2 linked regions of the Canis lupus familiaris genome follow. The protein of the gene in region 1 purifies or fractionates together with the protein of each later gene. This does not show direct contact. Links are inferred from orthologs where the notes say so. Each region holds a gene or a part of one and is shown on either strand. Other genes may lie near its edges. The genes, in order: SSH1 and YWHAE.

Region 1 (3,810 bases):
AGAAGCTATGTTTTGGGGGTTCGGTCTGTCTTCCCTACTGTTTCTCACATCTCGGCAATGCCCAGGCAAATTCTGGGTTTTGGTGAGAACTGGGGTTCTGAGCCCTCAAACCACGTGGAGGAAATTGGACGGGGCCTCTGTGTTACTGACTGCAGACCAAGGATGGAGAGAGTCTGAGAACTGCCGACGTGGCCTATGTCAGAGAGCCTTCAAACAATTCCCCACAGCTCAACTGGGAGCCACATCTCAGACATCTGGCTTGAGAGCAAACTAGGGCATACCAGAGGAAGGGGGTCAAAGACAGGAGTTCCCAGAACAGCCAGGATTGAGGTTCCAGCAACACAAATTCTCTCCCCCTCTCTGACTTTGCTGCAAACTTCAAACAATCAAGGTTTGTTGATTTATGTTCCCCCAACCAGACCCTGCCGTGCGCTGTGCTTCTTACAAGATAAAGGTGGTCGAAGATAAGGGAGGGCTTGTCCATCTGTCCCAAGATAAGGAGCATCTCATTGTCTATGAATTCTTTAAATTCTTTCAAGTTACAGTTCATCTGCGTCTCCAATTCATTACGGATCTGTGGAGTGGAAAACAGCAGGAAAAAGTGATTTGTCATAAAGCAAAATGACAGTGGCCCACCTCCAAAGAGGTCAAGTCACCACTTCAACTGCGGTGGTTTTCAAAAAAGGTGTTTTGTTGGTGTTGTGGTTTGTTTTTTTACCCCATAGTAAGCACACATGCAGGTGGTAGAGATGCAGGACCCACAGCCTCAAAGTCAGCCTGACTGGGAAAAGCTGATTATTTTATATGAAGAGGCTGATTCACATGGGATCTCTTCTACTCAGTTAAGGCACTTATATTTTTACGATTAAATATCAAATATATGGGACGCCTGGGTGGCTCAGCGGTTGAGCATCTGCCTTCAGCCCAGGGCATGATCCTGGAGTCCTGGGATTGAGTCCCACACAGGCGCCCTGCACGGAGCCTGCTTCTCCCTCTGCCTGGGTCTCTGCCTCTCTGTGTCTCTCTCATGAATAAAATCTTTTTTTAAAAAAATCAAATATATCACAGGCAACACATACTGTTAGTTTTCATCTTGCTTTGGGAGGCATCATAATATGATTTTTTTAATGTGTATTAACTAATAAAAGATGATATATGGCTTTTTTTAAAAAAGACTTTATTTATTTACTCAGAAACAGAGAGACAGAGAGGCAGAGACACAGGCAGAGGGAGAAGCAGGCTCCGTGCAGGGAGCCCAACGTGGGACTCTATTCCGGGACTCCAGGATTGGGCCCTGGGCTGAAGGCGGCGCTAAACCGCTGCGCCACCTGGGCTGTCCTGATATATGGGTTTTTTAAACGGCCCTTCCAAGCCCTTATATCTGCCTAGTTTAAGCTACCATAATAATTCATTGCATTCCTTGAACCAAAAGCAACTGAAAAAAGAAAAGTGATCCAGAAAAATTTTGAAGGCACAATAGAAGGCAGTCCAGAGTCAGTAACTTGCTGGTAAGTGATAATCCTGAAGTAAGAAACAAGATCTTGTTTGCTGTATCTCAGTAAAACACAACGCAGAGGAAAGGACACTAATAGAAAAACGTGTCTCGGTGCAATCCATTGCAATCCACAGGTCTCGTGAAATTATCACCAAAGGTCTTGCAGGTTCAGAGAGATCAGGAAATTTGCTCAAGGCCCCATCAGTATGCAGCATAGCTGGATCCAAACTAGAGTCAGACTCTAAAGCCTGCGCTCTCTCTGCTAAGCCCTGCAGGGGGAAAAAGCCTCTGAGAGCCGCTGAGCTGACCAGTAAGGAAGGCCTCTCTGTGCTTTGGGCAACAGGATAAATGAACACTGTGTGACCTCTGGCCTACTAAGGGAAGAGCTCTCTTACTTCTTTTGAGGTCACATTTTCTAGATCCTGGCTCATCATGATGCTCCGGAGCTTGGCTTTGATAAGGCGCTCAGTCCTTTCCCCTTCGGTTGGCCTGGAAAGAAATGACATTCAGTAAGTCGCAGAATGACAAAGAGCCTGAGATCAGTGTTTACAGAAACACCAGATGCTCTCAGGCTACATAGAACATGGCCTGGACTCAGAGAGCTACCTTCTTGGTGTGCATGTTTTTGGGAGGAGGGAAAAGGGACAGAGTGGTCCTGCTCTGTGTCTGGAACTTCCATGGGAGCCCACAGAGTGGTGAGCAGATGGAGAGCACAAAACAATGGCTGGAAAGCATATTCCTTGTGCAGATCTGCAGAGAATCAGGCTCTCAGGACAAGACGCTGGGAGCACCAGAGTAACGTCCACCCACCACCTTCCAGACCCTTCTGTCTCTGTCTGAACACGTCTGGGGGTGGGGACATCACTGTGTCTAGAGGCAGTCCATAGTCCCAACTATGTCCGGCTCCCATTATCTTCTTCTTACATAGAGAATCTGTGTTACCCTGTAACTTCTACCCATCAGCCCCTGGTTCTACACAGACCAGGATTAATTCTTCCACGGAGGCCCCTTTTATATATTCAAAGGCAACTATCATTCTCCCCAACCCTCTCATCATTTGGGGCCTCACAGAATGTGGCTTCCGGTCCTCTCCTCATTCAAGTTGACCTCTCTGCCCATAGTCCTTGTAACACAGTCCCAGAGGGACGCACAGGAGTCTAGGGGAGGAGGATCCTGACCAAGATAGAAGCAGAGAGCCATTTCCTTTTTCTGGACCTGGACTTGCACTTATGCAGCCTCAGGCTGCATGAGCTCTGCCGGTGGCCACACGACATAAGCCACGTGATTCACTGTTGCAGCCTCTCAGGCAGGCTGCCTTTGGCCAGCATGGAGGCAGTCGTGTTTTGGGATCCCAGGATGAGGGATGTATAATACTTCTAAGAATAGAGGAAAAGGCTTTGGGAATTAAGTCTCTGGCCACGTGGAGACGAAGGGGTAGATCCCAGAACACTGCCCAAGAGCCGGTGACACATGTGGGTCCCACTTTCCTTTGAGAAGCTGATGGGCATTATGGAGCTGCTCCCCAGAGATGCACGCACCCCCAAATCTGTCTCTAGCTTCACAAGTGGGGTGGCAGTCACGGATCCTTCTCTAAGCTAAACATTATCCGTGGGCAGTAGGTTAGGAGTCCCTGCTTGGAATGCTGGTCCTGGGCAGGAGACCCTCAATCAAGAGCTACGGGGAAGTGTGACTTCATGCGACTCAGGGACTGGCCCAGCACAGGGGTGGGCAAGGGTGAAGGCGAGACAGCACTGCACTTACTTGTCCACAAACAGGGCCGGGGAGTCAGGCCGTGTGGACTCCAGGTCCTGCATGGCGTTCCACTCATTGATGCAGCTCTGATCGGAGCTGATGCAGCTTTCGTAGTAGGCAGCCCAGATGAGAGCCACGCCCCCGGGGAAGTAGTTGTGTCTCCGAGCCACTTCGCAGGCCTTGTGAAGGACCTGCAGGGCAGACCTAGGGTAAGGACAGGGACAGGGTCAGGCCTGGGGAGGTACAGAGAGTGCTAGGCTTTTACCTCAACACAGGAGTGGAGAACGGGGCAGGGTGATCCCTCAAGGACTCACCTTGAGTTGGGAGTTGCTGTGTGTATAAGGTAATGTGGGGAACACAAGGCGGCCCAAAACCTCCAGGCTGCCAGGTCACAGAGCTAGTCTCTGAGACATGTGCTTCAAGCCCGAGGGTGGATAGGACAGCCGTCACCATTCCCAACAAGGACACAGAACAAACTTCATAACCCTCCCACCCAGGCTGGCTCACATGTCACTTCGCACTCCATCAATGAACTCCCAAGAATTCAGACTGACTTGTGAGGC
Region 2 (3,910 bases), on another chromosome or scaffold:
GGGGAGGGGAAGGAGGGGACAGAGAGAGAAGCAGCCTCTCTGCTGGGCAGGGAGCCTGAAGGTGACTGGATCCCAGGACCCTGGGGTCATGACCTGAGCTGTAAGCAGATGCTTAACCTACTGAGCCACCCAAGGGCTCCCAATCTCCTTTTTTTTTTTATTTTTATTTTTATTTATTTATGATAGTCACACAGAGAGAGAGAGAGAGGCAGAGACACAGGCAGAGGGAGAAGCAGGCTCCATGCACCGGGAGCCCGACGTGGGATTCGATCCCGGGTCTCCAGAATGGCGCCCTGGGCCAAAGGCAGGCGCCAAACCGCTGCGCCACCCAGGGATCCCCCAATCTCCTTTTAATTCCACATCTATTGCACACCCTACCACATAGTTTATATTCGAATCTGAGCTTCAGTTTTGCAACCAATATTTATTGAGTACGAGGTGCTGGGAATCCACTAGGAAGCAAAACAGGCCAGTTCTTTCCCGGTCCTGCCTCCTCAAGCTCGATTTAATCTCCGTCCCACTCTTCCACACCCTGCACTGGACAGGAGACTTCTCTAACAACTTCCTTGTTCCTATCCATGATGGGCTTAAGGCCAAAAAAAAAAAAAAAAAAAACCGCGCTAAAAAGAAGAAAAAGATGGCAAAATGGGAAGGCGAGTTGAGGTGTGAAAACCGGGAGGCCCCTCTCCCCTACTATTTATAGCAGACCCTCACTCTTTACCCCGAGTGGAAAGGATGTGAAAAAGGCCCAGCACTGGGCTTGTTTGAGAAAACAGGGGCCAGGTAGGAGAGAAGTTGGGTTTCCTGAGGAAGGCCTGCCATTACAAAGACCACTACAGGTTTCTCCGCCCCCTGGTGCAGGGGTCGGCCCTCGGTTCACGGACCTGGATCCCTCACTCACTCGCTCGCTTCAGGAGCGGTCCAGGCGGGGCCCCCCACCCCGCCCTCTCTCGGGGCTGCTCTCCTCCCAGGCGTCGCAGTTCCCGCCTCAGCTCTCCAACACCCGCGGAGCCCGTGGAGGAGGGACGTCTAGCTGGTTCCAGCGTCTTCGGGCTCAGAGCTCCCGGACCCGCCCCCCGCGCCAGTTGCCAGGGAGCGGTTGCCATAGAGCTGAGCAGTTGTCCGCGTGCGCAGGCGGAAGTCCCGGATTGAGGCGCCGCCATTTTTGCTGCCCGGACACGGAGCGAGAGGCTGAGAGAGTCGGAGACGCTATCCGCTTCCATCCGTCGCGCAGACCCTGCCGGAGCCGCTGCCGCTATGGATGATCGGGAGGATCTGGTGTACCAGGCGAAGCTGGCCGAGCAGGCTGAGCGATACGACGGTAAGTTGGGGGGGCAACAGGGGGCTGGAATTGTCGGACCCTCTGCCGCCGCCCACAGAGGCCGGGAACAGGAGACAAAATGGCGGCATCGCCTCCGAGCCTGGCCGGGGATGTGGATTCGAGAAGTAGGAGATGGCCTGTGGGCTCCCGGAGCGGTGGCAGGCCCCAGGCCCAGGAATTTGATCCCTTTGGTCTCCTCCGCTGCAGACACTGGCGGGCCAGGAGGCCGAGGCGAAAGGGTGGAGGAGTTGGTTGTAAAATGGCGGCTGGGGGGAGGGCGAGTCCCGGGGCGGGGGAGGGGGAGGAGATGGCGGGTGTTATCTCCCGGCGAGCAGTCCCCAGGGGAGCTTCTGGGTCATCTTGGGATGTGGAGAACAATTGGGTGGGGTGATGGGGGAAAGAAACACTCGCCACATGGGGGAGAGTAGCACCAGGAGCTGCAACGCGGACGCCTATCAGGGAAATATGGCGGGTGGGGGCGGTGGCTTTTCCCCGGAGGCCCAGTGTGGGGCGGCGGCTGTGGAGGCTCACAAAGGAGAATCCTTGCGAGCGGAGGGCAGCTTTGGGTGCGTGGTGGAGGGCAGTCTTGGATGAGGGCTGAGGAAGGACCGTGAGAATCACTGCAGTTCATCTTTGAGCAGAGGCCAACTGAGATGCTGCGATCGGATTTCCTTTCTGTAGGCCGGCACATCTCGTGTTGAGGGTATTCCAGGCTTTATGTTCAACCTCGCCTTCTGGGGAGGTCTAGAAAAATCTCACGATCCCTTTCCTCAGACTTACCCTGGAGAGCTCAAAGTTCCTGTAAGCATTTTCTTGCACCGTTAGTTACGGGTTCTGGTGGATACAGCTTTGTACAGGAAACAAGAGACCATGGCTTAGTCCCTCAATTGCCCAGGCCTCAGTTTACCAGTCTTTAAAAATGATGACTTTCGTGTTTACACTAGACGCGCCGCTGTGACAAATGGAAAGACCTGTTGGAAAATAAAGTTATTTCAAATAACGTTTAGTAACTGTGTTTTGGTTGACTCCCCGGGCTTGGAATGGGTGTTTATACTTCATTGGGAATCTTAACCTATCCCAAGCAATCGCCCGAGGCTTGGGTTTTTGGATTTTGAACATAAGGCTTCCCAGCAGATCCTATTTTATTTTTTCTATTTTAAATAAATGGCTTTGTGTACAGATTTGAACAGTTCTTTGTTCATTGGTTCTTTGCCCCTAAAGGTTCTTTAGTCCTTTTTTTCAGAACTTGATCGAAATGTCCATTGTGTCCGTTTAGTCAGTCTCAGGCTGCTGCTTTTTAAAATTGCCCCCCACTCCCTCCATTTTGGGTCTAGGTACTTGAATTACCCCCATATCCGTTAGATTGTAGTATTATAAAGACACAAATTCTTATATGTGGCTTCTGTGGTTTTAATGCTGTCTGGGGTGAGACAAGGTTGGAATCAAGTGCCATTGATCTTCAGATTTTTTTCGTAATTACTGTGAAGCCACTTTTTCAAAACATTATGTAGGGCCCTTGCTTTCCTTGAATGCCAGATTGGTCATGTGAGTAGCCTCAGGGGTAGTCCCAGTACATCCTCATACCTTAGGATTCAGGAATTTGAAAATCAGGAAAAAAGCCCAAGAACTCAAAATGAGGAAAAGCGTAGTGCACTAAATTTCGTTTTGTAAATCCTTAAATGTCTGCAGTATTGAAGGAGATTCTTGTTGGGAGGGGGAGGGAAAAAAGATGAGGAAGTACAGCTCAAGGTCAGATTTGTCCTTAATTCAGTGTTTAAAAGTGAAACAGTGTAGGTGTGCTGGTAGTGGAAGTTTTTTTTCTTCTTCCCCCTTGTGCACCAAATGGGTTCCTCTGGTAATGCATTGGTGTCCTTGGGAGAAAACTTGAAATTATATTTGAGTGCTTTTTGGTCTGTAAGGATTTAGGCTTTGGCTAAACTTTCTGGGATAACGAAAAGGACGTGGAGGAAGGTTTTTTGTGTCTTTCTTAAAATTTGTTTTAAAAACTTAATTTAGAAGCCCCTGGTTGTAGCTTTCAAATAAGTGCCAGTTTAGTGATCATATTTTGTAGTTGGGTGCTGCGGAATTTTAATGAAAGTCCTTTTTTGGTTATTCAGCATAGCACTGTATAGAGAGAGCCACATCATTAAGTTATTTAAATGTTGTGTCTCCTTCAGGATATAAAGGGGGAAGAATATAGGATCTACCAGGTAGGAGGGACTTATTGGAAAGGAAGAAAAGGAAGGCAGTCATCAGGAATCAGCCTCTACCTGTGTCCATTCCCTTATTGGGTGCAATAATTAACTTTTGTTTGTGGTGACAAAAATTCCCCATAGTTTTAGTCACCGAACAGTATGTGGTTGGGGAGTGGAAGAAAGGAAAAGTGAGTCTGAATGATTTGGGTTTGGATGCTTTGACGTAAGGACTGGCTTTTCTTGTTCCTGCAGTATCTTTTATTTTGCATACTCTGTTGAACCTAATACTTCTGTGTAGCATTATTTAATTATATTTTGGGGAATTGGAATCAATTTATATGGATTACTTAATCGTACTAGAGGAAGAGCTAAGTTGTGTTCAGGAAAAAGACAC

The links.
Region 2: the proteins of SSH1 (region 1) and YWHAE purify together in Homo sapiens (affinity purification with mass spectrometry; 3 studies listed by BioGRID and IntAct, with this or other methods). This does not show direct contact. The link is inferred for Canis lupus familiaris from reciprocal best matches to the Homo sapiens genes SSH1 and YWHAE.

Annotation. Positions count from the first base shown.
Region 1 is NC_049247.1:18,468,956-18,472,765, reverse strand, and holds part of SSH1 (protein phosphatase Slingshot homolog 1), read right to left. Parts: intron 3,452-3,810; coding exon 3,257-3,451; intron 1,985-3,256; coding exon 1,891-1,984; intron 575-1,890; coding exon 446-574; intron 1-445. UniProt on the Homo sapiens protein: Protein phosphatase which regulates actin filament dynamics. Dephosphorylates and activates the actin binding/depolymerizing factor cofilin, which subsequently binds to actin filaments and stimulates their disassembly.
Region 2 is NC_049230.1:45,528,603-45,532,512, reverse strand, and holds the start of YWHAE (14-3-3 protein epsilon), read left to right. Parts: upstream 1-1,134; 5' UTR 1,135-1,257; coding exon 1,258-1,321; exon of another isoform or gene 1,322-1,961; intron 1,962-3,910. UniProt on the Homo sapiens protein: Adapter protein implicated in the regulation of a large spectrum of both general and specialized signaling pathways. Binds to a large number of partners, usually by recognition of a phosphoserine or phosphothreonine motif.